3 linked regions of the Cricetulus griseus genome follow. The protein of the gene in region 3 interacts with the protein of the main gene of each other region in a pairwise test. Links are inferred from orthologs where the notes say so. Each region holds a gene or a part of one and is shown on either strand. Other genes may lie near its edges. The genes, in order: Copz1, Copz2 and Copg1.

Region 1 (7,398 bases), on a different chromosome or scaffold from region 3:
ATGCCTCTCTGCTTTTATGTTTCTTTAAAAGTTAGTTTATTTAATGTTATGGGTATGTTTGTCTGCATGTATAGCTGTGTATCACATATGTGTAGTTCCCAAAGAGGCCAGACGAAAGCACTGGATCTCCTGGGATTGGAGTCATAGACAGTTGTGAGCCACATGGGAATCAAACCAAGTCCTCTGGAAGAACAGCCAGTGCTCTTAACAGCTGAGCCATCTTCAGCCCCTATTTCTGTCTTTACCAAGCTACCTGATGGATTAGTAAAGACAGACATCATTAACCAAGCAAAAGCTGAGGCTAGAGGAAAGTGGCAGAAGGTCCTTTTTAAAAATTTGTTTATTTATTCATATTTTATGTATGAGTGCTGCTCTATATGTATACCTGCATGCCAGAAGAGGGCATTAGATCCTAGTATAGATGGTTACGAACCACCATGTGGTTGCTGGGAATTGAACTCAGAACCTCTGGAAGAGCAGCCAGCGCTCTTCACTGTTGAGCCATTTCTCCAGCCCCCCCACCCCCCACCGAGGCCCTTTTTAAAAATGGTATTAGGGATCAAAGCCAAGGCTTCAAATTTGCTAAGCATACACTTCACTATTAAGCTTAATTTCCAGCCCCAGCTTGGGCTCTTGAGTCAGAACTAGGTTTAAATCTCTGCTGATTCTACATGTGTTATCCTGAGAGAGAAAATGGGCCGAATCTCATGAAACAGCTACTTTTGTAATTTGACAAAAGCCAAATACAAGTAATTTTATATGGTTCTTTATAGTTTCGTTTCCTTGTTGGCAAAACAAAAACAGTAATACCTCCAACCCACAGAAGTGCTGCCAAGCTTAAACAATGTACTTCACAGACATGCGTAGCAGTGAGAGCTCAGTGGGATCTGGTCTCTCAAACTCTTAACTGTGATGGGAAATAATCTGGTGGCTTATTTACCTGTCTACTCTCCCAGAAGTTGCTGCCACCTGAAACAAACAGGACTACACTCACAAGTCCCTCTTAACAACACTGTGGGAACTTGGTGTACTGGCTCACACCTGTAATCTCAGCCTCGGAGAGGCTAAGACAAGAGGACTGCTGTGAGTTTGAAGCCAGTCTGAGCTTCAGTGTGACACTTGTCTCAAAACCAAACAAACAAAATTTACAACAACACTGTGTAGTAAAGGACACTAAAAACATTCTAATTGGATTTGGTGACTCAGGCCTGTAATTCCAGCACCTGGAAAATAGATGTGATCTGAAAACAGCCTATGTTAACAGTAAGATCCTGCCCCTTAAAAAAAAAAAGACCTGGGAAAACTTCCTCTTTGACTGATTCTTTGGCTAGGCCATTCTGTAAGACTGACAGGGATCTCTAACCGACTTCTTTATGACCTTGCCAGATATCAGAGGAATGTGGCTCTCCAAAGCTCAAAACCAATGGCTGGCTGTGTCCCATCCATGGCTTCAGAAGTGACATCAGAGGTAGCAAATGGGCAGAGATTCTCACCTCGTTTTCATAGGAGCTGCCAATCACATAGAAATAGAGATCGATGCTACTTTTATAGACCACTGTCAGCCCTTCCAACAGGGCAATTTCACCTTGGGGAAGAAAGCAGATACTGAATGGTGGGAGAAGAGGAGACAAAACAGGAGTCCCTGAGAATTCCTGGGGACAGCTGCGTGGGCTAAAGAAAGGCCAACTGCAATAACCTGCAAGCCCTGAAGCTATCTTATTGTTTAGGGTTAGCGGAAGGGACACAGAAACTCAGGGAGTTTAAATGGATGTTCTCTAGCCCTCCCTCCCCCATTGCACCTACTTCCCTCCCTATGTATGAGGCAGGATACCAGCGATCCTTCGGACGTAAAAATGCAGAGCGGTCACCTTTACAGGCTTCCATTTACCTGCCCTAATGGATGCGGTACAATAAGCAGGGCTGCAGTTAAATTTGTCAAGTGAGGCTCATAAATCCTGGGACTAGACAGGTAGCTAACAGCCAAGCTTCTAGCACAGTATTCCCGCGTGAGGTACACTCACCTCCCCATTACATTTCTGAAGAGTTTATTATATGAGGGGAGGAGGAAAAAAGAAAGAGGAGGCCGAGTCATTTTATCTTTTTCTGCAGTCCTGCTGACACTCTCTTCCCATAGTTCCCCCCAACACAGGGAATAGTGAAGGAGAATGACCTACTATCTGTCCGATGGGTCTTGTTGAAAATGTTCTTCTCAAAGGCCTTTTGCTCCTTGACACTAGGGTAGGTGTCGTCATAGTACTAGTGGAGGAAAAGGAGACAGGGTTGGGTCATCATAGCTGTGAGACCAGATGATTAGTGACTGTTCTACTCTGGCATCTTGTATGTCTCTCCTTCAAGGCATGGGGTGGGAGAGGAATACTAAGATAGGCAAGAAAGGACTACAGAGGCAGGGAATGGCAGGAAGGGAGGGAGGGAAGGAGGGAGGGAGGGAGAGAGGGAGGGGAAAAAAAGGAAAAAGGAAGAAAAGAAGGGAAAGAAAAAAGTGCTTGCTGCCAAGCCTCACAACCAGAGTTTGATCTCCAGAACCCACAAGGTAGAAGGAGAGAGCCAACTTCCAAAAGTTGTTCTCTGGCCTTCTATAAGAAGCACACACAATAAATCTGAGAAAAAAGAAAAAAAAAAAAAAAGGAAAGGAAAGGAAAGGACTGTGCTATCATCAATCCTACAGTCCCACGTGTCATTTCTAAGACTCAGGGCAGACACCTGCCAGCTCTCCTAAGGAGACTCCACCACATGCTTCCTGGGAGCTGCCCTTGTCAGGGTCAGCGCTGGAGAAATAACCAAACTAAATGCAGGGATGTTTCCTCAGACTCTCCCTCACTAGAGGAAGACCAGTCCTGGGGGGGGGGGGCGTTGTTTTTCAAGACAGGATTTCCCTGTGTAGCTCTAGCTGTCCTGGAACTTGCTTTGTAGGCCCTAAGGGCCTTGAACTCAGAGATCTGCCAGCCTCTGCCTCTTGAGTGTCCAAATGCTAGGATTAAAGGTGTGGGCCACCACCCACTGGCTGGAAGACCAATCTTTTACTGAGCAGTGGAGAAAGGCCATACAAATCTCTTTCACAGCAAGGTAAGTCCATGCCCTGTTCTCCTGCACATCTTGGCTCTTTCTGCCTGCTGAGAGAAGGGGGCAGTCGAGCACTGAGCCCACTCCCAAGCACTCCTAGCAAGGGGCTGGAGATGCAGGCTGCTAAAGCGCCTGCTCTTTAGGGGCTAATCCGTTGCAGTCAGCTGAAGACCTATGACAGGTCTGGCATTTAGTAACTGGATAACTGTTTCCAAAGGTGTCCTGCATAGTTACATCCAATTACAGGGAGGAACAGCTGGTGAATTCTAACTAATCTCCACCTGCTGATTGATTTATGCTCTGCTCGCCCAGAGTTAATACACCAGGGACAGAAGACATTTCTACAGGGGGGGAGAACAGAAGAGAGGGGTGTCCTTTCTCTGCTCAATGCATCCAAAGTTACAACACCTCATGGGGCATGCAGCATGGTGAGGACTACAAACCTAGGGCTACAAGTAAGAAACTGGAAGACTCCCTGGACAAACTCAGGCTGAGTGACAAGGTAAGAGGAGGGGGCAAAAGGAGAAGGGGCAGATGGGACAGTCAGGACAGATGGGACAGACATAGACAGGCATTTCTAACATTGAGACAGTGTTTTGTTTTGGAGCTAAGGTTCTAAAGTTCTTCCCTGCTCTGAATAGGGTGACAGAGGAAGCTAAAGGTCTGAGCACAGCAGGAAGAAAGCACTCTAAGGGACAGAAGATTGGATTTATCTGGAGTGGGCAAGGTAAGTGGAAGAACTCTCAAAATCATCATACTCCTGAAGAATTTGAGTTAGTAGGGCCAATCCCAACACTTAAATCTCCAATGTCTCTGTCCTGCTCCTAAATTAATAAGAAAGGAAATCTCACCTTAGCAAAGAGTCGATCTCCATCATTGTCCAGAATCAGGATGGCCTTGACAGTGTACAGGGAGGGCTCCTGAAGAAACATGAACACACCTTCAGTTTTGAGGGCTCCACCACTACTAGCAAGCCTAATACCTTCCTTCCTTCCTTCCATGGTCCCACTGGGCTACAAAGGGTCACACAGGGGTCTGTGTGTGTCCCCTACTGCAGCATGGTCAGGCCTAATACCTCCCCCTGAGGATGACCAAGTGGAGGATGAACTGAACTGAGGGAGGGCTCCAAAGCAGACTCAGAGAAAACAGTCTGACTCACAGGCCTCCATCAAGGTAGGTCACACTGTTATTTCCAGGTCCTACGGCCAGTCATTTTCCAAATCACCCATCCTCCCTGGCCTCCTGGACACAGGTGAGCATGGAATGTGACCATGTTAATGAATGAGCGCTACTCATATGAAAGAAGGTTGTGCACTTAGAAGTCACTGCCGTCCCAAAACAGAGGCTTAAAGCAAGCCACTCTAAACCATCCAAACACAGCAGAAGAAAAGCACTGTGTACACACATGTGAACGCATGTGCACACATACACACACCAGTTCCCCGAAATAGACACCAACCAAAAATTCACGAATGAAACTCTTCCTCTGCTATATAGGAACCATTATCACTTAGTCTGCTAGAATAAAAATCAACCTGAATCTTAAGTGTGGTAAAAAGAAAATATTTGAGAAGCCTAGGGTCCAGGAGGTAGATAACAGGAGGGGAGTTTTCTTTCACTATAAAGAATGGAACTAAGGCTTAGGGGTGTTACAGTGCACGTTTAGCGTGCATGGGGCACTTAGTTTAATCCCCAGCCATTCCCCTATAAGCAGAACAAAATCCCAGAATGAAACAGAATTGCTGACATTGGAGCAGAGGCACTACAGCCTCAGCTCTGACAGTTATACTTAACACCTTTCCTCAACTGAAAACAGATGACTTAGGAAAAGCTGTTTTACTAAGTCTGGTGTTCTCTCCTCTATCCTCATAACTTTCAGAAGCGAAAAGTGAGAAGAGCTGGCATTGTGTACAGAAGGCCTCTGTCGCTCACATTATTTGATGACCTCACCAATAAATACTTTCTGCTACTTCTTGTGCCAAGGCAAGACTGTCTGCTTTGCTTTTCTGGTCTTAGGAAACTCACCCATCTTCTAAACATGTGTTTAACAAAGACACAAGGCAAAAGAAAGAATCACTGCAAGGATCCAGAAATTGCAACCCTATAGAGGTAAAGTGAGGCTCCAGGAGGGGAGGGGTGGGGCTCCATGTAGAAAAGCAACCCTAGCTCAAGAGAAATGGGGATTAACCAAGGTTTTTCTCCTCCTCTTCTTCTTTTTTTCTTTTTTTTTTTTTTTTAGTTTTCAAGACAGGGTTTCTCTGTGGCTTTGGAGGCTGTCCTGGAGCTACTAGCTCATATAAACCAGGCTGGTCTCGAACTCACAGAGATCCTAACCCAGGTTTCTCTAACCTTCATTTATTTATTTATTCATTTATTATTTGAGATAGGGTCTCTCAATATGTAGTTCAGGCTGGCCGAAAACTCACAAGATCCATCTGCCTCTGCCTCCTAAATGCCATCACTTATATTATTATTTGATGTGCATGGCTGTTTTGTCTACATGTATGCTTGTGCACTATTTATACGGTTGGTGCCCTTGGAGGTCAGAAGAGGACATCCCTAAAAGTAGGATTACAGATGCCATGTGGGTGCTATGAATTGAAACCCAGTTCCATATTAGAGAAGCCAACAATTTTTTTATTTTATTATTTTTTTTTGAGACAGTGTCTCACTATGTAGCTCTGGCTGTCCTGAAACTCTAGACCAGGCTGTCCTTAAACTCACAGAGATCCACCTGCTTTTGCCTCCCTAGTGTTGGAATTAAAGGTGCACACCACTATACCACCCAGTTTAAAAGCCAGTGTGCTGTTTCTCTGTGTAGTCCCAGCTGTTCTGGTACTCTCTATGTAGATCAGACTGATCTCAAACTCAGAGATCCACCTGTCTCTGCCTCTGAATTGCTGTGATTAAAGATAGGTGCTACCTCTGCCCAGCAGAAGCCAGTACTCTTAACTGCTGACCTCTCTCTCCAGATCACTAACCCAGTCTTTTGAAAATGGGATAAGAGGGCTGGAGCGATGGCTCAAGCAGTTAAGAACATTGACTGCTCTTCCAGAAGACCTGGGTTCAATTCCCAGCATCCACTCGGCAGCTAACAACTGCCTGTAATCCAGTTCCACCGGATCTGACATACTCACACAGACACATGCAAGCAAAACACCAATGCACTGAAAAATAAAAGAAGAAAAAGAAAATTCAATAAAAGCCAGGCAACGGTGGCGCACACCTTTAGTCCCAGAACTTGGGAGGCAGATCTCTGAGTCTGAGGCCAGCCTGCTCTACAGAGTTTCAGGACAGCCAGGGCTGTTACACAGAAAAACCCTGTCTTAAAAAAGAAAATGACCTAAGAAATCTGAACATTCATTCTGAACTCTCAATATTTGTTCAAAATTGAGAATAAAGTTTAAAAAGAAATCTCTTGTGACAGTGTACTAGAACTGGATTTTTACAGCTAAGTGGATTTTGTAGTGAGACCATTTTGGAGTGATATTATCACCAACCCACCCTCTCCTCTGACACACTTAAAACTGCCCACCCCAGGGAGCTGAAGAGATGGCTCAGAGGTTAAGAGCACTGGCTGCTCTTCCAGAGGTCCTGAGTACAATTCCCAGCAACCACATGGTGGCTCATAACCATCTGTAATGAGATCTGGTCTGCAGGGATACATGCAGACAGAATACTGTATACATAATAAATAAATAAATATTTAAAAAAAAAACAAAAACAAAAAAACACCCCAGACACACTGCTCTCCAGAACAATGGACAGGAGCACCTCCTCTGCAGCCGGGGAACTGTGCTGTCTGGCAGAGGGAAGTCTTCTGAGTCTAGTCTAAAAAGCCACAAACAGAAGTTGTTCTTCTAAGTCCTAGCTCCACACAGAAAGATCACCACACACAGCAGGCTCTGTTCTATAGTAACTTGGCTGCTCAAGTACCAAAATCCAGCCCTCAATGGGAATGAGTTTCCTTAATGGACAAAACATGCCAAGAGAAGGAAATGGTTATGCCCCTCCATCCACACTCACGGCAACCTTAGAGGGCTTGCTGCCCACAAATTGAAACTGGACCTTAATCTGGCATTTGTGACTGTTCTTACAGCCAGATTCTGGCATTCCAGGAAGAAATGGGAGCACACACCCCCACCCCAGCACAGGCCAAAATCCCTAATGGCCACCTGCCAAGTAGGAGAGCCAACATTCTTGTGGGCAACACTGTCTAAGCACCTAAACAGCCATGCTGACAACCGAGAAACAGCTCAGAGTTCTGCTCTTGGCTCTATTCACTGGCTTCCTAAAAGATAAGATCAAAGAAACCTC
Region 2 (7,974 bases), on a different chromosome or scaffold from region 3:
CCTCCTCTCTATCCCCTCCTCACCCGCCATCTACAATTTCATCCAGCACCAAGAAGGCTCCATCCATGTTCTCCAGCAACCAGCGTTTCTCCACGTTCTTCCTGTGGGCAGACACAAGCACCTGAGCCTTCGGGGCGGCCAAAAGGAACCATGACTCCTCTAAGTGAGGCAGCGCCTCTCTTCCCAATACCCCCTTCCCAACAAGGCCTAGGCAGGAGAACGCAAGGCAGTGGGAGCAGATCCGATGCCAGGGACTCCTGAGCACAGAGCAGGCTGGGTCATCCTAGGTTGGTTTGCCCAGTTTGTCAACCTTCCTAATGCTGTGACCCTTATATACAGTTCCTCATGTTGTAGTGACCCCCAACCATAACATTATTTTGTTATTACTTGTTAACTATAATTTTGCTACTGTTATGAATCATAATGTCAATGTCCGATATGCAGGATACATGCGACCCCTGTGAACGACCCTTTCACAGGGGTCATGACCGACACAATGTTGCTGGTGTAGGTATTAGTACTGATTGGGGATGCAGGGAAAACCAACTCTGAGCTTAAAGTTAAAAACACTGTTTATATGGGGCATGGTGGTACACACCTGTAATTCCAGCACTGGGGGACTGAGTGGGAAGCCAACGTGGGCTGTGTAACAAGACCTTCCTTTTCCTCTCTCCCTGCTCTCCCTTTATTTGGAACTTGTGTTGATTTGCGTACTGTGACCTCAGGCAACTCAGTGTCTTGAGATTTGATATCTGATCATAACTTGGGCATGGCTCTACTTGGGGCTTCATAGAAGTCAGGGGAGTTGCAGAGATTCCAGGAGGACCACAGGGCAGAAGAGCCTTGCCTCTGGGACAAAGGGAAAGGCCTGGGGCTGGGGCCTTGGAGTGCAGAAGGTCTCACTTACCTTAAGATGTGGCTGAGAGAGTCAAACAGGCAGGCAAGAACAGACATGAGCATCAGCTGAGGAGGAGGGTGTGGGAGGAGGAAGAAAAGTGAGCTGAAGCTGAGAGGCCCAAAGCAGGCCTCTGAGCTCCTGTGTGGGCCAGGTGGGAGCACTCCCTTGTCAGAGAGAGCTTGGTTGGAGGCTAGCAGCACTTCCTAAGGTTTGGGCTGGGGGGCACTGGAGTGCTCCCCTGGAGGATACACTGTGTGTCTCCTTTTCTAAATATGCTTAGGAAGAACTAACAACTCCCTACAGAAGGTGTGATGATTTCATTTCTGGTTCCCAAGGGACCTAAGGGCCATTATGGGTGTGTACAATTACAGAGAGACCTATTCTGGCTGCCCTTCCACCCCCAGATGCTAAAGGAAGGATAGCAACAGTGAGCATCCAGAACCCACCTCCACCCCAGGACAGACTCTCCTTGTCATCCAACCTCCTAAATTTACCTCATTCTCAGAGGAAGAGCCCACCACATACAGGAGGAGGTCAATGCTGCTCTTGTAGACAATGGTCATGCCCCCCAAAAATGCGATCTCACCTAGAAACAGGAAGGCTTTCAAATCAGTCTATCTCCGCCCCAGACTGGGGCTAGCCTGGTCTCTACTCCCCATGGCTCTTTGTTTCCTATTTCCTTTCCCAAGGAAGTCTTAGTCAGACCACCACTACTGGGAGGCTGCTCTGTGTCCTTGGGCCCATCCCAAGTGCTTTGTATTTAGAGGGCCCCCTCTTGAGGAGTCAACAAACCCAGCCTGCGGCTGAACTCCCACCGACCCTCCATCCCATGCAATGCCCTGGGACCAGATCCAAGTGTGTGTAGGGGCACACAGCACAGTTGGCCTCCTCAACAGAGAGGAGGGGTAGGGACGAGAGTGATGGGGAGTGAAGGTCCCAGGATGAATGAAAGAAGGGAGTGGAAAGCAGCTGGGGAGGAGAAGACAAAGAGCCTCAGAGAAGGGATGGCCCGTGGGTGTGGAAGGCCAACAAGGACAGATGTGCCCAGATGGGGAAGATGACAGACAGTGGTGGCCAGTCATCCCAGAGGCTCAGTGGAGGAGGGGCAGGCATTACTTTCGGCTCGGCTGGTCTTGTTGAAGACATTTTTCTCGAAAGCCATCTGCTCCTTCATGGAGGGAAACGTGTCATCGTAATACTGTGAGAAAGAGAAGAAGGCCGATAGGCGTTGTACAGAGCCAGCTCCAGCCTTGGGAGGGGACTAGCAAGCAGGGAATGCTGGGGCTGGCTGAGCTGCCTCCTCGTCACCTCCCTCCAGGCCCTGCCCGCTTCCAGGTCCCCATAAACAAATTCCAAGCAAAGAAAATCAAAGTAGGGAGATACTGGGGCTGCCTTTGGAGTCTTCATCTGGTTTTCTCCCTCTCTCCCTTCCCTCCTCCCTCTCTCTCTCTCTCCCTCCTCCCTTTTCTTCCTTCCTCCTGTATTTCCTTCCTTCCAGCAGTGCTGGGTTCTAAACCAGGACTTCACATGTGACTAGATAAGTATTCTACCCCTGAGCTGCATCCCAGCTTGTTTTCTCTTTCCCAATCCTCCCTCCCTCCCTCCCTCCCTCCTTCCTTCCTTCCTTCCTTCCTCCCTCCCTCCCTCCCTTCCTCCCTTCCCTCCTTTTCTCAGGTCTAGGGATGGAACCCAGGGTCTTATGCATGATAGACAAGTAAGTACTTTGCTGCTAACCTAAATTCTTAGGCCTCTGTCTCAATTCTTTTATTTTATTTCTGAAATAGAGTCTCACTATGCCATCTGGCTGGCCTGCTATATGTAGACCAGGCTAGCCCAATTTCTTTCTTTCTTTTTAAATGTTTGGTTTTTTGGGGGAGGGGTGTTGTTTTTGTTTTTTGTTTTTTCTGTTTTGTTTTTATTTATTTATTTATTTTTGAGACAAGTTTCCTCTGTGTAGTCCTGGCTGTCCTGGAACTGGCTCTGTAGACCAGGTTGGCCTTGAACTCACTCTGCCTCCTGAGTGTTGGGTTAAAGGCATGTGCTACCCCTGCCCAACTCATCCTCAATTTTTCTGTTTGTTTGTTTTTGTTTTTTCAGACAGGGTTTCTCTTTGTAGTCTTGGTTGTCCTGGAGCTCACTCTGTTGACCAGGCTGACCTCCAACTCAAGGGGTCTGCCTGCCTATGCCTCCTGAGTGCTGGAATTAAAGGTTTGCCCTACCACCACCCAGCCACCCTCAATTTCTTAACATATAACAAGGATAGGCTGGGCAGTGGTGCCACATGCCTTTAGTCCTGACACTCTGGGAGGCAGAGGCAGAGGCAGGTAGATCTCTGTGAGTTTGAGACCAGCCTGGTCTACAGAGTGAGTCCCAGGATAGGACCTTCTAGGAGGCCCCAGAGGCTTTGGTAATGCCGATCCACCCCTGCTCATCTGCTAAAGCACTGTGTGACCAGCTCAATTTTTTAAATGTGAATTTTCGGTAGTTAATTCTGCAGCTAAGTTAGCAGATTCTCTGCTGGGTCCTACCATTGTGAACAAACTCATTTGAATGTTACGAAAACTAAGTTTCAACTCCAACAAATAAAATCATAACCCATATCTAATTTAGATGTTATAGCTGGATGTGGTGGCATATGCCTGGAATCCCAACACTTGGGAGGAAGAAAGAGGAAGATCAAGAGTTCTGGGCCAGCCTTCTTACATGAGACCCTGTCTCAAAAGGAAAAAAAAGGTATGGTTCACACAAACAGTCTCAGCATTTGGGAGGCTGAGGCAGGATCATTGTGACTTCCAGGCTAGCCTGGGCTACACAGTAAGTTCCAAACCATCCTTGATTATAGACTGAGTTCCTGTTTCAAAAAACAAAACAAGCAAACAAAAATATCTAGGAGGATAGTTGTGGTGGTGCCCTTTAACCCCAGCAAATCTCTGAGTTTGAGGCTAGCTTGGTCAGTGGAGTGAGTTCTAGGACAGCCAGAGCTACACAGGGAAACCCTGTCTTAAAAATCAGACAAACAGGGCTGGAGAGATGGCTCAGAGGTGAAGAGCGCCGACTGCTCTTCCAGAGGTCCTGAGTTCAATTCCCAGAAACCACATGGTGGCTCACAACCATCCGTTATGAGATCTGGTGCCCTCTTCTGGTGTGCAGATATACATGGAAGCAGAATGTTGTATACATAATAAATAAAATCTTTAAAAAAAATCAGACAAACAAAAAAGTTAGGGTGTGGTGTTATATGCTTGCCTATGGTCTCAGCCCTCAAGAAGAGGCAGGAGAAGTAAGACAAGTTTAATGCCAACCTGGTCCACAACAAAACAAAAAAATGATATATTTCTGCTACAGTTAATTGTATCAGTGGCAGGAATATTATTTAGTGATTGTTTTGGGTTTTTGTTGTTGTTGTTGTTTCCCGAGACAGGGTTTCCTTGTGTAACTTTGGAGCCTGTCCTGGAACTTGCTCTGCAGACCAGGCTGGTCCCAGACTCACAGAGATCCCCCGGAGTGCTGGGATTAAAGACATGTGCCACACTGCCTGGCTTTCAGTGGCAGAAGTTTTAGGGTTTTTTTTTTTTTCTTTTCCTTTTCTTAATCAGTGTGTGTGTGTTTGTGTGTGTGTGTGTGTGTGTGTGTGTGTGTGTGTGTGTGTGTGTGTGTGTGTGTTGTAGGGGCAAGTATGGAAATCAAAGGACAACCTGAGGGAATTTGTTCTTCCCTAGTGAATTCAGGATCCAACTCAAGCTGTCAGGAGTTGTGGCAAGCACCCTTCCTGAACCACCTGGCCTACCTGAGACTTAGCTTCAAATGTAGTTTTACTCATCTCAGCCAAGCCGTGTAGGATGGATGCCAGACAACTGAAAGTGAGTTCCATGAAAACCACCCGAAGCCTCCAATCCAAGCCCCAAGTCTGGGTATCAGTTATGGCACTAACCCTGTGCTTCTCTGCTCTTCATTTTCTGCATCTGTGAAGTTAGAGAGTGGGACAACACTGCCTCCCAAAGTCCACCTAATTCTAAATACGCTGGAATACAGAAGCACACGGGTCCCTTGTCTACAGTTTAGGGATTTGGGCTCCTAGGTCCCAGCTCGGATCTCCACTGATCCCTTTGGTGGAGCTTCCCAAGCCTGGTCAGAGCAAGGACAAGGAGAAGACATGTCAGAAAACATGAGTAGAAACAGAGGGAATGGCCCCCTTTCTCCGCGCCATCAGACTGATAAGGCATAGCATGGACAGAGTGACTTCTAGAGAATCTAGGCTGGGCTGCTCTGCCATCCAGAAAGCAGAGTTTCTCCTACAGGAGATAAATGGGCTGGGTGGGGACCGTTTGTCTTGGACATGTGGCACTGCTTTCAGGGTGTCTGTGGTGAGGGTTTACCTTAGCCAGCAGCCTTCGCCCGTCATTATCTAGGATGAAGACAGCCTTGATGGTGTAGAGAGAAGGTTCCTGAAACTGACACAGGAAAGACACCCCTGACTCAAAGTGGACCCATATCATGGGCTCTATGGAGTCTGCTATCCCCCAATCCAGAGCTGGGTCCAGCCCAACCCTGTGCCACATGGACTATTTCCGGTGCCCACTCTACTACTCCCAGGCAGATGTTCCACTGCAGGTCCGAGGAGTGGGCTCTGTGCCCGCTGGGTGCAGAAAGTCCTACCGGGCCCAAGTTCTGTCATGCACTGACTGCTCCAGAGCCCGAGTCGGAGTGTATCACAGAACCTGGGCCCGGGGAACAGCGGCGCCGAGCCTCCTTGTGTCCAGCTGACCCCAAGCTCCAGAAGCGCGGCCATCACCCTGGAGCAAGGGAGCCCAACCAGACCACCGCGCCACTCCCACTCCTCCCTCGTCCGTCCCGCTAGACTCTCACCCCCACTCCCGCCACCGCAGTCAGTCCCTGTAACTGCTGGTGAGCTCCCCCAGAACTTCAGCCCCGCGACACTCCACTCGGGCCAGGCCTCCTCGCCCGTGCGCTCCGGGACCAACTTTTTTCTCCCCTCCTTGGGCCCGGGCTCGCTCTCCGGGGCTAGGCAGTGGTGGCACAAAGTTCCCAGCCCGGGAGCCCGAGGCAAGTCGGCTGCCCCCCACCCCAATCCTGCAGCCCCGGGACCCAGCGCTCTACGCTCCGTACCCTCAGTTCCGTGGCTCGGGTGGGCGGCGCTGCGCCCCCGGCTTGGGCGGCCGAGGCCCCCTCCCCCGGGTGCGGACGTGGCCAGGCCTCCGGCCGCTGCATTCCGCTCGCTGCCTGCACTGACAGCGCCGCCCCGCCCCGCGCCCGTCCCCCGCGGCGCCGCCCCTCCGCCCAGTACTGCGTGGCTGGCCTGTGAGTCTCCCCTCTCTCTGAGCCAGCTTCCCGCCCGACCCCCACTCCGCAGAACCGCCTCTCCCCACCTGGCTTCTTTCTCATTCTTCTTCCTGGGCCCCTCTCTGTGCCCACAAGTTTCTCGGGTAACCCAAAGCCCCTCTTCCCTCTTCCTGCCTCTTCTGGCCCTGGGGTCTGCCACTTTGGTTCATAGAGGTGTCCACGTGGCTGTCCAGGGCCAGCCTGAATCATAGGCGAGGCTTACTTTTTTCTCAGGACTCCTAGGTGTTATTGGGACAAATATTTTAAGACACCTTTTTGGATCTCAGGACAAAGCCGATCAGAAAGATAGGTGGCAACCCCTTCCATGGAGAAGAGTTCTCCTCTCATACTCCTTGGGGGAAAAATACAAAACAAAACAAACATGGGCTTAGGAACACCTCCCCCAGGCATTTTTCAATATGCAGAGGAGGAAAAGGCGGGTAGTTCAAGCCCATAATCCAGCCTGAGCCTGCAGACTATCCTGGCCAGAGTGCAATCACACACGGTGAAGTATTTAATGGTGCCTGGCCAACCATTCAGAACACTGATGGTGTGTGCCTTTTACACTGAACATTCTCATTGTCTGTCAAAAGCCATGCCTGGGAAGGAGGCGTTTTCAGACATCGTGTGACTTTTTCAAGTTGGTTGGGCTAATAGGTGGGAGAGTTCCCAGGCTTCGGAAAGAAGTTTCCCCCATTTTGTCCTTGAGGGCCGCAGAGTGGAGTGTCACAATCACTCATCTCAGATGGTCCACACGAGGCTTCCTTCCACTGAACACATCAAGCCTTTCTCTTCCCAACTTTCACCTTTTTTTTTTTTTTTTGAAAGTTACACTATCTATCTAATTTATTTAGTTATTCAGTGTTCCACAGCACTCATGTGGCGGTCAGAGGACAACTTATAGGAGTCAGTTCTCTCCTACTTTCTGGGTCTTGAGGAATGGAATTAGGCTGTTAGCCTTCACCCACTGAGGCATCTTATTGGCCTGAAAGCTTCTTCTTAAATATCCTCATCAAAGGGGCTGGAGAAATGGATCAATAATTAAAAAGTATTTGCTGCTCTTGCACAATACCCAAGTTCAGTCTCCACTCTCACATCACATGGCTGTCAACCACCTGTAACTCAGGTTCCAGAGGATCTGGCATCCTCTTCTGGCTTCCACAGGCATTACATACATGTGGTGCACATACAGACAAGGAGGCACACACAAAAATGAATAAATAAATAAATAAATAAATAAATATATTTTCCTGGGTATGGTGGTACTTGTCTTTAATCCCAGAATTTGGGAGGCAGAAGCCCGGCCTCAAGTCAGTTTTTTAAAGTTATAAGAATTTCTCGCCAGGAGATGGTGGCACACTCCTTTAATCCCAGCACTTGGGAGGCAGAGGCAGGTGCATCTCTGTGTGTTCAAGGTCAGCCTGGTCTACAGAGCTAGTTCCACAACAGCCAGAGCTACACAGGGAAACCCTGTCTCATAACCCAAATGCTCCCCACAAAACAAAACAAAAAATTCTTAAAGAAAGAAAGATTCTGCTGGGGGTGGGGTCACACCTTTTATTCCAGCACTTGGGAGGCAAAGGCAGGCAGATCTCTGAGTTCAGGGCCAGCCTGGTCTACAGAGTGAGTTCTAGAACAGCCAGGGCTACACAGAGAAACCCTGTCTTGAAAAAAAAAAAACAAAAAAGAAAGAAAGATCGAAAGCCAGGCATGATGGCTTATATCTATAATCTCAA
Region 3 (7,398 bases):
TTTTTATATAAACAGTGATCTGGCAGTCTACCATCTTGTTCTTAATTTCATCTTATTTTCCATTTCCTACTTCTGTGCATCCTTAAGAAGATTTTCTTCTTTTGGCAGCTGGTGTTCACTATGTGATGGTTTATTTTCTCATATGCTGTACTCTCAGGCCTATTTACATACACACGAAGCTGTTCTGAGGTGAATAGCCTGACAGTGTTGATAGTGTCTGTGGCCTTGATCATTTGAAGGTAGCCCGTAGAGCCCTAGAACAGAAGCTACTGGTCTTCCCTTTTCTCCAATAACAGGAAGAAGTAGTTGAGGCCTGGGTAGCACCAGGATCCACCAGGATTGCACAAGAGTTGTTCTAGGATCGTATTGGTGCCACCCACTACCTCTTCTGCATGAATTCTCTGAGCACTAGTGGGCACCCTCAGCTCTCTGGCAGGTGGGACTGAGGAGCTGTTGGTGAATCATATTTACCTTGGAACTAGGTGCAGTGAGTGCTCTGGCCAAGTTTGGAGCCCAGAATGAAGAGATGTTACCTAGCATCTTGGTATTGCTGAAAAGGTGAGTCTGGGTGCAGAAGCCAGAGAGCATAACAGTGTCCCCTTGGTCCAGTCCACTGCTTTGTCCTTCCAAAGAATTTTTTTCTTTCTTTTTTTTTGGGGGGGGGGCAGGGTTTCTCTATGTAGCCCTGGCTATCTTGGAACTTGCCATGTAGACCAGGCTGGCCTCAAACTCACTGAGATCTACCTGCCTCTGCCTCCTAAGTGCTGGAATTAAAGGTGTGTACCACCATGCCCAGCAAAGATTTAATTATTTTTATCTCATTTGTGTGAGTTTTTGCCTGTGTGTATATCTGTGCACTGTGTGTGTGGTGCCTAGTACCTGCTGAGTCCAGAAGAGGGTGTAAGTATGTCTCCTATGAGCTCAAGGGAACCTCTGTGTATTTTGTGACATTTGGTTTGTCTTCTTTCCTGGGTGAGTTCTTTATTAGGGAGCTGTCTTCCACTCAGCTGACCAGCCCCTTGTATTTTATGCTGTCCATTTTAGAGCCTCCACTCTTGGCAGCTGAGCCTTAAGAGCTCTGCATCGCCCTGCCACCCCCATACAGCCCTACAGGGTCCCTTTGACACACTTGCTACACTCAGTCAGGGTTACCTTGTGTCCTGACCACAGGTGTGTGATGGATGACGACAATGAAGTGAGAGATAGAGCTACCTTCTATCTGAACGTTCTGGAGCAGAAGCAGAAGGCCCTCAATGCAGGTTATATACTAAATGGTGAGTCTTCTTGCCTGCCCAGGACCCAGCCCCCTCTTGGAGCCTTTAGACCTTCCTGCGGCCTTAGAGCAGGTGTGGTGTCCCTGACCCAAGACATCCAAGACCATACATGTTTCTCTGGACTTGTGTAGCAAACTCTTGGATTGATGTGATTTCAGAAGTGCCAGAGTCACATGGCTTGAACTTATGTCAGTGGCAATAGCCAAATAAATTGAAGTACTCCTTATGTGTTACTCTGGCTTGAACCCAGCTTACACATGCTTGGCAAGTCTCTACCATCATGTTGTATCCTCAGTCCAAAGCATTTGTTGTTGTTTTGAGATAGTATATCATTATATAGCTTAGGTTGGCCTGGAATTTTATGACAGTCTTCTTGGCTCAATGTCCAGAGTACAAAACACTCATTAATAAAAATGTTTAAGTCTGGTGTGATGGCTTTTGCTTTTATCCCAGAACTCCAGGGAGACTGAGGCTGAAGGATAGGAAGCTCCAAGTCAGCCTCAGCTACAAAGCAAAATGACATTTCAAATAAAAAAAAACAGTAATTAAAATGGAAACTTTTGTTGCCTTAGTAATTTTTCGAGTCACTTTGTATTTACCTACCCACCAACCCTCTGGGAAGGAGGATGAAGAGTAAGGCTCAGAGGTTCCATGGTTTTCTCAGCATCAGCACATCTAGTCTTCATAGTGGGGGACCCAGGCTTCTGTCCTCCCTAGGTGCATCATGTCTGTCTGTCATGCCTGCCAGGCAGAATGACCTCTCCACTGGCTTTAGGTCTGACCGTGTCTATCCCTGGTCTGGAAAGAGCCCTGCAGCAGTATACACTGGAACCATCAGAAAAGCCATTTGACCTCAAGTCTGTGCCTCTGGCCACCACCCCTGTGGCAGAACAGAGACCAGGTAAGGTCCTGCTCATCCCCAAGGCCCATGTGTCACCCTTGGCTGCAGAGTGGACCAGGATGGGTGGGTGTGCTGAAACGAGGGAGTAGCCTTTGCCACCTCTTGCTTCAGGCAGTGGAGATAGCCATGCTGATAAACTGCTGTTTTCCTTTCATGTTTCTCTCTTGGGAGAGCTGGCATTTAGAATGTCTAAGGAATAACATGGGTTCAGCAGCAGCATGCTGCTGTGACTGGAGCTGTGGGTCACCAGCTGTACTTGCTCTTGTAGAAAGCACCGCCACCGCAACAGTCAAACAGCCAGAGAAAGTGGCCGCCACTCGACAGGAGATCTTCCAGGGTGAGTATTGGTCAGTATGGTCAGAGTGACTTCAGAGCCTGCCAGCTACTGCTCATGTGGGACCTGGTCTCCACCTCTGATTGGATTCAGAACTTCAGAGGATGTATGTGCCTCCGTGGTAGAGTGCCCACTTAGCCTGCTGGAGACCCTGCCTTTCAGCCTAGCACAAAGACTTTTTAAAGAGAGTGGGAACTTTATTGGTTCCGGGGCTCTGGGTGATTGAGTGTACTGGGGCTTCATTCATGTTGGACTCTGAGTGCTTGTAGCCTGGCTGCCAGGATGTGTGATGGAGTGTAGCTAGAGTTCAGAGACACTGATGCTGTGTTTTTGATTCCTTATGTGTTCAGTCCATGTTGCCTTATAGACTAGTTTTGAAACTGAGAGACTGTTGTCAACTCGCTCAGCCCACCTCCAAACCTCTTGTCCTGTATCTCTTCAGTATTGCTGCAGTAGCACTTCCTGAAGCCTTGTGATGCACGTAGCTGACCAGTGACTACCAGGGAGAAATCTTGCCTTATAGAAGGGAAGAGATCAGAGTCTGAAGCTGTTAGAGGTGGTCACCTTTCTCAGACACCTGGCATGTGCCTCTTCAGCTTATGAGGAATACCAGAATTAGCCTGGCAGAGTCTTGGTAGCTTTGGGCCAGGAACAGGCCATGTTGCATAGTGGGAGTCTTACCTACAGGACAAAAAAAGTTTTATTTATTAACTTATTTATTTATTTATTTATTTGTGCTGGGATTGAACCTAGGGCCTCAAGCATGCTGGGTATACGTGTTCCAGTACTGAACTGTAGCCCTTGTTATCTTTGCTATGTTGAGACAGCATCTTTTTTTTTTTTTTTTTTTTTTTTTTTTTTTTTTTTTTTTTGGTTTTTCGAGTCAGGGTTTCTCTGTGGCTTTGGAGGCTGTCCTGGAACTAGCTCTTGTAAACCATTCTGGTCTCGAACTCACAGAGATTCACACCTGCCTGCCTGCCTCTGCCTCTGCCTCTGCCTCTGCCTCTGCCTCTGCCTCTGCCTCTGCCTCTGCCTCTGCCTCCCGAGTGCTGGGATTAAAGGCGTGCACTGCCAACGCCCGTCAAGACAGCATCTTAATGAGGTACATAGGCTAGCCTTGATTTCACTCTGTCCACGAGGCAGACCTTGAATTGGATCCTCCTGCTTTGACCTCCTGAGTAACCGGGGTTACAAGCCTGTGCTGCCATGTCTGGTGTTTCTGTAACATTCTGAAGTAGCTTATCATTAGCCATAACAGCACTCACTGTGATCTCAAGACTCAGCAAGCTGAGGCTGGAGGATCACAAAGTTGAAGCTAGCCTGGGCTACAGAGTTAGACCCTCCAAAGAAGTAGCTAATCGCTGGCCATATGCCTTAACTGGCCATTGCATAGGGTGGATTTGTCTTTCACTGAATTTGTAACTTCAACAGTACGCACCTCAATTCGTAGTCTTTTCCCTTTAAGAATCGTTGCCGAGGCTGGAGTGATGGCTCAGCAGTTAAGTGCACATGCTGTTCTTACAGAGGACCCAAGTTCAGTTCCTGACACCCATGTCAAGTGGCTAACAGCTGTCCCCTTCAATCTTAAGGGGGGGGGAGGGAGAGAGGGAGGGAGGGACGGAGGGACGGAGGGAGAGAGAGAGAACCATTGATGAACTAACGGTAAGGATTTTCAGGTGGATTAGGCTGGGGCTTGGGGTCCCGTACTGGGTGAATTGCTGCAGAGGTCTTATCTTCCTGGAGGGTTATACAACTTGAAGCAGGCAGAGCTGAGGAATGGGCAAGTGTGCCGAGGAGGAGTGAGCAGCCAGTTGGACACGCGCCTGGAACTAGCTCTTCTTTCCTGGGTGAACTTCCCTCCTGAGGAACTTTTCCTGAGGAACTTCCCTCTCAGGGATGGTATGAGGCCTGGGGGTTCAACACAAACTGGTGTGAGATCCAGAAACCAAGTTAATGTCATCTGTGGATTTCAGAGCAGTTAGCAGCGGTGCCTGAGTTCCAGGGGCTAGGGCCCCTCTTCAAGTCCTCACCTGAGCCAGTGGCCCTCACTGAGTCAGAGACTGAGTATGTCATCCGATGCACCAAACACACCTTCTCTGACCACTTGGTGTTTCAGGTAAGCATGATAACCTGAGATCCTGCTGGTGCCTGTGCCTAGGAGCAGTCCCAGATCTGATGGGTCCTGTAGGGTTGACCATTGAGTTGGTTGGGGGCACCGCTTGATGACTGTACCTGTCACCAGCAGGTATGTCTCATCCCTCTTTGCCCAGGACTTCTCTAGCCTGTGAATGCCAACCAGGCAGAGGGCTGGGAATGGGGGGTGTATCCTGGCTCTTCCCGTATAGCAACAACTAAGCCCTACTCCTCCTTATCCAGTTTGACTGCACAAACACCCTCAATGACCAGACCCTGGAGAATGTCACAGTGCAGATGGAGCCCACTGAGGCATATGAAGTGCTCTCCTATGTACCTGCCCGGAGCTTGCCCTACAACCAGCCTGGGACCTGTTACACGTTGGTGGCTCTGCCCAAGGAAGATCCTACAACTGGTGAGCTCTCTGTAGATACCACCCAGGCTCTGTGGGAGTCTGTACATCAAGGATGGCACAAAAATTCCTTGATTCAAACATGAGAATTGTTCAGGCCCGAGTTCTTTTCATATATTATCTTATTTCATTCTCATAGCAACTCTGTGAGGGTAAGTTCTGCCTATTCTTGCTCATAGATGAGGAAACTGAGGCTTAAGTTAGGTGGGTTTATTAACTTAGAATCAAAGCCTGTCTGATCTTCAAATGGGTTAGTACTCTTTCATTATAGCACACTACCTCTCAAAGACAGGCACAAACACCCAAACATCTCAAATTTATTTCTCCAGTGATATTACCAGCTTTTTTTTTTTTTCCATCATGGACAGTGGCCTGCAGCTGAGGCATGGTCTTAGCCACTCTGCATTGTCTCTGTTTCTTTGGTCTTTTCTTTGGACCTGTGACTTGACATTCCTGTCCTATGAGGTGGTGCCTTTGTCCAGCATGCTGGGGCTGATGGCATAGTGGCTGTTACTAATGCAGCCTGAAGGGCAGGACATGTCCACCTGACTGTGAAGGAGCTTGTCTTCATCCAGCCCTTCTTCCCCACAGTGGCATGCACATTCAGCTGTGTGATGAAGTTCACCGTTAAGGACTGTGACCCAAACACTGGAGAGATTGATGAAGAAGGCTATGAGGATGAATATGTGGTAAGAGGACAGTGTCAGGGACTGAGGACATGAACTGTCTATAACTTCAGTTACGGGCTCTGATGGCTTCTGGCCTTGGCAAGCACCGCATGACTGTGGCACATAGTACATATATATCCATACACGTGTACAGATTTTTACGATTTTTTTTTTTTTTTTTTTTCTGAGACAGGGTTTCTCTGTGTAGCTTTGGGAGCCTGTCCTGGAACTTGCTCTGTAGACCAGGCTGGCCTCAGAGATCCACCTGCCTCCGCCTCCCATGCTGGGATTAAAGGTGTGCACTACCATACCACCTCCTGGCTTTTTACATGCATTTCTGATAATTTTCTTAGGATAAATTCCTAATTGGCTCAAAAAGAAAGCATGAAGACTTTAGTCACTGTAGTTGAATTGCTTTCTACGTAAATTGGGCCCCTGTGCTCTGCTGGGCCGCAGAGTCTCGTAGTCAATAGAATACATCTGCATTCACCCTTGTGTATTGTAACAATCGTAGTAGAGAAGAGCCATTTCTCAGCCAAAATGACTGAGGTGAGAACTGCCTTAAGACTTGTCCCCTGGGGAGCTGCAGCTGAGGTAGTCCTTTCACTGTAGTAGTGGCTGTGTGTTCGATAAACACCCGCAAGAACAGATTTCTCTGAAGATCTGTTGGAGGAAAGAAGAAAGAGCCTTGGTGTGGACACAGTTCAAGCTGGCTGAATGGGAGTATTAAATGTCAAGTCAGCTGAGATGACAATAGGGTCCAGCCTATGTTGGGCCTCGAGGGCACAGCTAACGTACAGAATCTGCTGAAGAATTGGCTGCTGCCTGTTGAAGGAGGGCCACTCTCACTGAGTTGCCTTGGGATGGGTCCCAAGGTAACTTTTTCTGTGTCCTTAAGCCCACCCTGTCCCCACACTGGCAGATAGATATCTGCAGGAAAGAAGGGATAAGTAGATGAGTTCAGAGCAGAGGCCTAGAAGTGCAGAGCAGGAAGTCTTTCCTGAAGTCTGACTTCTATCTGCGTTTCTCCAGCTGGAGGATCTAGAAGTTACTGTGGCTGATCACATCCAGAAAGTCATGAAAGTGAACTTTGAAGCAGCCTGGGATGAGGTGGGGGATGAGTTTGAGAAGGAGGAAACATTTACCCTGTCTACCATCAAGACACTTGAAGGTAAAATGCTGGTCATACTATCTCTGATCTGGCTGCTTTTCAGAACCCTCAGCTATTATACTACAGCTACCTCATGCCTCCCCTCTTCCCACCAAAACTCCTGGCCATATCTAGAGCACCTGTGCTGTGTGGTGGATTGCGGTTGGGCTTGGGGTTCCATGGGAAAGTGCAGGCTTAGTAAGGGTGAGGCCCAGGATTGAATTAGTACCCAACAAATACACACAGAGACAGACATGCACACGAGACTTACAGTGCTGGGGTTTCTTCCTACAGAGGCTGTGGGCAATATTGTGAAGTTCTTGGGAATGCATCCTTGTGAGAGGTCAGACAAAGTGCCAGAAAACAAGAATACTCACACGCTGCTGCTAGCTGGTAAGGAACACCTGTGGGGAGGGCCTGGGTAGCTTTACAAGTGGGCATGCCATTGGGTGTAGTCCTAACTGGGGTTTATCCTTTATCCTGTGAGGCTAGCTGCACTAGGCATGACATGATGGCTCAGCATTTC

Evidence for each region.
Region 1: the proteins of Copg1 (region 3) and Copz1 interact in a two-hybrid assay, tested with the Homo sapiens proteins (2 studies listed by BioGRID). The link is inferred for Cricetulus griseus from reciprocal best matches to the Homo sapiens genes COPG1 and COPZ1.
Region 2: the proteins of Copg1 (region 3) and Copz2 interact in a two-hybrid assay, tested with the Homo sapiens proteins (2 studies listed by BioGRID). The link is inferred for Cricetulus griseus from reciprocal best matches to the Homo sapiens genes COPG1 and COPZ2.

The regions. Positions count from the first base shown.
Region 1 is NC_048595.1:399,664,397-399,671,794, reverse strand, and holds part of Copz1 (coatomer subunit zeta-1), read right to left. Parts: intron 4,002-7,398; coding exon 3,933-4,001; intron 2,257-3,932; coding exon 2,175-2,256; intron 1,586-2,174; coding exon 1,494-1,585; intron 1-1,493. UniProt on the Homo sapiens protein: The coatomer is a cytosolic protein complex that binds to dilysine motifs and reversibly associates with Golgi non-clathrin-coated vesicles, which further mediate biosynthetic protein transport from the ER, via the Golgi up to the trans Golgi network.
Region 2 is NC_048600.1:110,000,177-110,008,150, reverse strand, and holds the start of Copz2 (coatomer subunit zeta-2), read right to left. Parts: upstream 5,395-7,974; coding exon 5,275-5,394; intron 2,097-5,274; coding exon 2,015-2,096; intron 1,485-2,014; coding exon 1,393-1,484; intron 964-1,392; coding exon 908-963; intron 102-907; coding exon 24-101; intron 1-23. UniProt on the Homo sapiens protein: The coatomer is a cytosolic protein complex that binds to dilysine motifs and reversibly associates with Golgi non-clathrin-coated vesicles, which further mediate biosynthetic protein transport from the ER, via the Golgi up to the trans Golgi network.
Region 3 is NC_048601.1:55,400,202-55,407,599, reverse strand, and holds part of Copg1 (coatomer subunit gamma-1), read left to right. Parts: intron 1-482; coding exon 483-558; intron 559-1,170; coding exon 1,171-1,274; intron 1,275-2,049; coding exon 2,050-2,175; intron 2,176-2,443; coding exon 2,444-2,512; intron 2,513-4,482; coding exon 4,483-4,625; intron 4,626-4,885; coding exon 4,886-5,057; intron 5,058-5,645; coding exon 5,646-5,743; intron 5,744-6,754; coding exon 6,755-6,893; intron 6,894-7,166; coding exon 7,167-7,265; intron 7,266-7,398. UniProt on the Homo sapiens protein: The coatomer is a cytosolic protein complex that binds to dilysine motifs and reversibly associates with Golgi non-clathrin-coated vesicles, which further mediate biosynthetic protein transport from the ER, via the Golgi up to the trans Golgi network.